Linked DNA regions of Saccharomyces cerevisiae S288C. The protein of the gene in region 2 binds, or shares a complex with, the protein of the main gene of each other region. Each region holds a gene or a part of one and is shown on either strand. Other genes may lie near its edges. A codon is read from its position in the direction of its gene.

The links. Proteins that work in one complex are often made in the same cells at the same time.
Region 1: the proteins of PEX13 (region 2) and PEX14 are in contact, whole or in part, in a crystal structure (PDB 1N5Z), measured with the Saccharomyces cerevisiae proteins. Residues at the interface, in NP_013292.1 of Saccharomyces cerevisiae: Tyr315 (codon at 856), Phe317 (codon at 850), Glu320 (codon at 841), Asn321 (codon at 838), Met324 (codon at 829), Glu325 (codon at 826), Pro342 (codon at 775), Arg345 (codon at 766), Asp348 (codon at 757), Trp349 (codon at 754), Tyr361 (codon at 718), Pro363 (codon at 712), Tyr364 (codon at 709), Asn365 (codon at 706), Tyr366 (codon at 703); in NP_011362.3 of Saccharomyces cerevisiae: Met85 (codon at 1,912), Pro86 (codon at 1,915), Pro87 (codon at 1,918), Thr88 (codon at 1,921), Leu89 (codon at 1,924), Pro90 (codon at 1,927), His91 (codon at 1,930), Arg92 (codon at 1,933), Asp93 (codon at 1,936), Trp94 (codon at 1,939).

Annotation. Positions count from the first base shown.
Region 1 is NC_001139.9:214,614-217,798, forward strand, and holds PEX14 (Pex14p), read left to right. Parts: upstream 1-1,659; coding exon 1,660-2,685; downstream 2,686-3,185. Other genes in the region: protein geranylgeranyltransferase type I subunit CDC43, read left to right, coding at 1-598; LYS5 (holo-[acyl-carrier-protein] synthase), read right to left, coding at 665-1,483; NUT1 (Nut1p), read left to right, coding at 2,911-3,185. UniProt on the Saccharomyces cerevisiae protein: Component of the PEX13-PEX14 docking complex, a translocon channel that specifically mediates the import of peroxisomal cargo proteins bound to PEX5 or PEX21 receptors.
Region 2 is NC_001144.5:535,502-539,069, reverse strand, and holds PEX13 (peroxin PEX13), read right to left. Parts: upstream 1,799-3,568; coding exon 638-1,798; downstream 1-637. Other genes in the region: HCR1 (translation initiation factor eIF3 core subunit j), read left to right, coding at 1-278; MMR1 (Mmr1p), read right to left, coding at 2,381-3,568. UniProt on the Saccharomyces cerevisiae protein: Component of the PEX13-PEX14 docking complex, a translocon channel that specifically mediates the import of peroxisomal cargo proteins bound to PEX5 or PEX21 receptors.

The DNA of each region.
Region 1 (3,185 bases), on a different chromosome or scaffold from region 2:
CGGATGCCGATCCAAAGAAGACTTTGATGAATACATTGATACTGAGAAGTTGCTTGGCTATATAATGTCGCAACAATGCTACAACGGAGCTTTCGGTGCCCACAATGAACCACACTCAGGGTACACATCTTGTGCGCTGTCTACCTTAGCTTTACTCTCTAGTTTGGAAAAGCTATCAGACAAGTTTAAAGAAGACACCATAACCTGGCTATTACATAGGCAAGTATCAAGCCATGGATGTATGAAATTTGAAAGCGAATTGAATGCCAGCTATGATCAATCTGATGATGGCGGTTTCCAGGGAAGGGAGAACAAGTTCGCTGATACGTGTTACGCATTTTGGTGCTTAAATTCACTACACTTACTAACAAAGGATTGGAAAATGCTATGCCAAACTGAACTAGTCACAAATTATTTGCTTGATCGAACGCAAAAAACATTAACTGGAGGCTTTAGTAAAAATGACGAAGAAGATGCTGATTTATATCACAGCTGTCTAGGGAGCGCTGCGTTAGCATTAATTGAGGGGAAATTTAATGGAGAATTATGCATACCTCAAGAAATATTTAATGATTTTAGTAAAAGGTGCTGTTTTTGAAGTTCAAACAGTAATAAGAGTCTATCGATTACATAAATGTGAGCAAGCGAAAAAAAAAAATTGGCATTATAAACCATCATTTTCGATGAAATAATCAATCAACGTAGATAAGCTGATATTATATAATTTTGGTCTGTTCGTGTTGATTTTATCACTGATGGACTTTGGCATACAGATAGTGACAATTTCGTTATTGAACCATTGAGAATGGAAAATCAATGGAACTTCATCCAGAGTTATGCACATAGAAGCTCCCTCAGCCGGAAAAAAGCTGATAGCGCCAAAATCTATTAGTGACAAGTCTGTGTTAAGGCCAGTTCCAGTAAATTTTGTATACGACTCCTTCAAGGACCATAAGTAAGTAAATATTGTGCATGGATCAGACGCTTTCAGTAAACCGTTAAATTCTCTTTCACTAAAAACTTCTTTAAATAGCTCCAACTCTTCCCTCCCGCCATAATTGCACGGAGAAGCGATATCAATTCCGACATCCTGGTATTCATCTGTACTTACACATTTTACGAGGAACATAGCTACATATTGTTCACCGATGGTCATGCTAAATGGAAGAAAACGATTGTTGTCTAAGAATGGCTTACCGAAGCTGCCCTTGTCAAATTTCAGCTCTTGAAAATTTAAGCCCGTTACTATAGAGCAGCCAAACAACTGCAGCAGCTGGCTGCATAGATTTGAACATCTATCGTGAAACGATTTTTTATTGAGGATTCTGGCTTGAGACGCCAATGGCAAAGTTCTCATTAATGCCTCGAACGTAAACTCATCCGCGAGTATATCCTCTTGAATTTCAACAACGAATATACCTGCCCATGGTCTTACACCTGCCACCTTTGAAACTTCGCTTACTACTTCAGTCGTTTTAACCATCCACGGTTTTTTTGCTGAGTGATTCTCTTTCTCCTCATTCTCATTTTAGTCATAGCGGTTTTAATAAGCGCCCGAAAGATAATTGTAAAACATATATTCAATGCTTAAAAATATAAGAAATTGCCCATCAATTTGAAAACTCAAGTAAAACAGAGAAGTTGTAAGGTGAATAAGGAATGAGTGACGTGGTCAGTAAAGATCGTAAGGCATTGTTCGACTCAGCAGTATCCTTTTTAAAGGATGAGTCCATTAAAGATGCTCCACTTTTAAAGAAAATCGAATTTTTAAAATCCAAAGGGTTAACAGAAAAGGAGATTGAAATAGCCATGAAAGAGCCCAAGAAAGACGGTATCGTAGGCGATGAAGTATCGAAAAAAATTGGTAGTACTGAGAATAGAGCCTCACAGGATATGTATCTCTATGAAGCGATGCCACCAACGCTGCCCCACAGGGATTGGAAGGACTATTTTGTGATGGCTACTGCCACAGCTGGGCTGTTGTATGGTGCATATGAAGTAACTAGAAGGTATGTGATACCAAATATTTTACCAGAAGCAAAAAGCAAGTTGGAAGGGGACAAAAAAGAAATTGATGATCAGTTCTCCAAAATCGATACAGTCCTCAATGCCATCGAAGCGGAGCAAGCTGAGTTTAGGAAAAAGGAAAGCGAAACATTAAAGGAACTTAGTGACACGATTGCTGAACTGAAACAGGCGCTTGTGCAGACAACAAGAAGCAGGGAAAAGATCGAAGACGAGTTTAGAATAGTTAAACTCGAGGTGGTCAATATGCAAAATACGATCGACAAATTTGTTTCAGATAATGACGGCATGCAAGAGTTAAATAATATCCAAAAAGAAATGGAATCTCTGAAAAGCTTAATGAATAACCGTATGGAATCCGGTAATGCGCAGGACAACAGATTATTTTCCATATCTCCTAATGGTATACCTGGCATAGATACGATTCCATCTGCGTCTGAGATTCTTGCCAAAATGGGCATGCAAGAAGAAAGTGATAAAGAAAAGGAAAACGGCAGCGATGCTAATAAAGATGACAATGCTGTTCCAGCGTGGAAAAAAGCAAGAGAACAAACTATTGATAGCAACGCCTCCATTCCAGAATGGCAAAAAAATACCGCCGCCAATGAGATCAGTGTCCCTGACTGGCAAAATGGACAGGTCGAAGACTCCATCCCATAGCGCAATTCTATGTAAGTAATTAGTTTTTTAACGGAAATTGTAATTGTAACTGTCCTAGATACTATGGACATTCAATCTGATTGTTACCCGGAACATTTGCTTTTGAAAGGCATTTTTAGTAGCACTAATATATTGGCAGCTAATTGAAACAGTAATCTACAAATATGAGTAAGCTAAACCACCTCAACAAAGCTATTCGTGGCTAGTATATGACCTTGAATTGCCATGGAAAAAGAATCAGTATACAACTTAGCACTAAAATGTGCTGAGCGGCAATTGACCTCCATGGAATTTTCGAACCTTTACAAGGAATTCTTTAATGAAAAGTTCCCGTCTTTGATTCAAGAGGAAGAAGAAGATACAACAACAACTGCAAATATAAATGAGGTCAAGAAAGCGTCCGATTTGGTGGATACACCCAGCAACAACACGGCTGCTACTGCAGATACTACACACTTACACGAGGCTCTAGATATTGTTTGCTCCGATTTTGTTAAAAT
Region 2 (3,568 bases):
CATCGTTAGCGATTGATTTGATTAGAGATGTAGCAAAACCAATGTCCATCGAATCTATAAGACAAACAGTTGCTACTTTGAACGTTTTGATCAAAGATAAGGAAAGAGAGGAGAGGCAAGCTCGTCTGGCCCGTGTTAGAGGTGGTACTGCTACTGGGGGTGCTGGTAAGAAGAAAGTCAAAGGTAAGACCAATTTGGGTGGCGCATTTAAGAAAGATCAAGATTTCGACCTAGATGGCCCCGACGATTTTGAATTCGGTGATGACGACTTTATGTAATCTGCTTATTGTTTCTTTGCTATGATAAACTTGTCCATCTCATTTTGTTGGTGAAAAAAAGCGAAGCCCAGCACCGCAGGCCTTGGATATTGCCATATCACAATTGTCCTGAAATTGTGAATGTCTATATTCCCATATATATATCCATAGGCGTTTCATTCATATAAAAATAAATACGCATATGTGTACGTAGGAGATTGTGTTTTCAAGATGGAGAATATAATGTGTTTTTGCACCGTTATCTGGCTTTTTGTTAAGAAGTACTTCGTCTCGTTTCTGCTGATTCTCCCTGGAATATTTACATTACTTTAGATTTTACTATATATATATGCGAATATATGTGTGCAAATATTGATGCACTAGTGTGTACGCGTTTCATCATCAACATGCTCAATTTTCTTCCGTCTTTTTATGATCTCAATATAGTTATACGGAATGTAGCCAATATTGCCGTTCTTTGTCCTCACTTTCCACCAGTCAGAATCCCTCCCAAGAGGGTCTTTCTTACTCAAAATTGCCATCAAGTCGCCCTTTTTTAAAGCAACTTCCATCTCTGGGTTTTCTGGAACAAAATCATATAACGCTCTTGCAAATTCTAACTTCGAAGGATCAATAGGCTCGCTACCATTTCCTTGCGATGCTCGTATGGTTCCAGAGGTCTGTAGTTTAGTAATAAATTTGTTTAGTAGATATGGAAAACCAAATACTGCCATCAAAAAAAATAGTAGCGGTTTCCATGAAATTTTCCTTCTTGTGGCTTTCTCATTAGAATTTATGGTACCACTATCATTAAACTTTTGAAAATCTTCAATTAGTTTATTTTTGCTTCCTTCAGATTCTGCGAAATTCTTTGGTGGTATTCCTAGTCTCCCCTTAGTAGCACGATAGAGTATTTTTTTAAGAAACTTCATTATAGCAAAGATACCAAAAAATGAACCTAGCATTTCCTTCAAATTACCAAACTGTTCTGCGACGGATATCATGGTGAAAAACGAGTTGTGTGTGGCCATATAAGTAGATTCCAGCATTTGTGCAAATCCAGTAACAGCGCCTATCAAACTTTCTATTAACTGAAAGGTGGCCTTCGTCGACTCACCTAGTCCACTTCCATTATTCATTCCATATCCCGCTCCTGCACCGTACCCTCCTCCATAAAACGATCCATAATTGTTGCCATAGTACGATCCTCCATAGCCATACCTCCCTATGCTGTTTCCGTATATAGAGTTCATACTATACGGATTATTATCATAGGGTATCCCATAATTGCTATTACCGTATATTCCCGGTATTGTATTCGATTCGCCGTAGGTACCAGAGGAGTTAAGTGCCGCAGGCCGCGGCAAAACTTCGGGAGCAGACTCACTTGCACTATTACTGTTATTGCTTTCTTCAGTTGGCCTGGAATCCTGCTGATTCGAGGTCATCATCGCACTTAAAGACTGAGCATTACGCTGTGGCTCCTCTAACGAAGCACTGGTCTCCCAAGGTTTAGGTCGTGGTACTGCTGTGGATGACATCGCAGGTATTGTTATAGTATAGAATCCCCTTGATATTTATAGATAGTATATGCACTTTCGAAATTGTTGTTCATTTCCACATGCGTTTGCTCACCAACTATCTGATATAATTAATATTAGTCCGGCGGGCTTCGGAAATAAAAAAAATTTGGCCCGCTGAAAAAGGTGTCATTAATCAGATAAAAGAAGACTTTATTATATCATTTTTTTTGGTAATTAATGTATTTAAGTATAGGTTGAATAAACTTGAATGCAATATATAAATTATGTGTTTGTGATACCAGTCACACCGTGATTGGATTTTCTATTCAGCTTTTAAAAGCGGGGTATTTGCTTAGACGACACTATGAATAAATAGCTGCAGCATTCGACGTTGTAAGAAAAAAGATTAAATCACACGACAAGCCCTTTGAAGTTCAGTAATATTCAAATAAAAATTGTCCAATGAGAAGGATGGATAACGGAGAAATCACGCACATTGCAGATGCGTAACTCGATAGCCTACAATACAAAGCGCCTATCAGCATTGATGTATTGTGAATGTTTGTGTAAAATAAGTTAATTTAATTTGAAGTTGACGCTTCATTTTTCCTTCTTCTCCACTTGGACAGGAAGGTTAAGTTGGAAACCTCTTTTACTTTCCCCACTCTGCACAGATGCTGTTGTGGAAATAGCAGAAGTTGGCTCCTCTTCAAAAGCAACATTTAAATCTTCGCTAGTATTAGCATCCGTATCATCGTTTGTTAGATGATCTTCCTCGGACGAAGTTCCCGAAGAAGAATCTGGCTGTTCTTCAATTTTCTTTAGGTCTAAAACAGAAACGCGTGCCAGTCTAGTCTTAGGGCATGGGATTCTTGCTGAATTTCCTTCAGTTTTTGAAGTGGAGGTGGCCACTACTGCGGAGGATTCAGTCAATTTCTTAAGAACTTTTTTACAATTGAAGAATTTTTTCTCCAGTTGCTTGACTTTTCTCTCAATATCTCTTTGGGATCTTTGAGCCTGTATACTAGGATCCTTCATAACCTCAAGCATAAATCTTTCTTCAATGTATCTGTTCGTCGTCATGGAATGCACTAATTTTTCATTCTGCAACTTTAATTCTGTAATTTCAAGTTCTAGCTGCTTGATCTTTATGTCTAAATTCGATTTTTCACGACTATTTGCCTCCTCTGCATTGGCCATAGAGGCCATTTGCATTGAAATATGTTGTTGTCCGTCACACCATTCGGGCTCATAGTCCGTCGACGTAGACGAGATAAAGCTATATCTGTTGTTGTTGTTATTGCCTTTGAGACCATATTGAACGAACCCGTTATTATCCGTAGGTAAATTGTCTAGATTCAGATCCTTAGGCAATTCGTTCACTTCGGTGCTTAGACACTGAGTGGAGCCGCCGGAGACGACTCTAAGTCCTTTGTCCTCGACCTTTCGCACCCCATGATTTTCTGGATCTTCCAAAGGAGTAGCAGGAACAGGAACGTATGAGGGGAGCAACCCTTCGGCGTTTTTCCGTAATATCGGTTCTTCCGCACAGACTTTGGCCTCAAATGAAGGGGGATTGCGTTCTTTCTTTTGTACTTGCGCAACGGATTCTGAACTGCGCAGCTGCTCTAGTTTGTCCTTGATGCTTTGTTTAATGATGTTTTTCTCTATGTTCAATGGATCAGGGTTTGAATTCTGGCCTTCACTAGTAGTTTTCTTGCTATTCTTCAATAGGGCAGATAGCAATGGCAGATTACTGGTTGTTTGAGATAGGTACTCGGGTTTTAA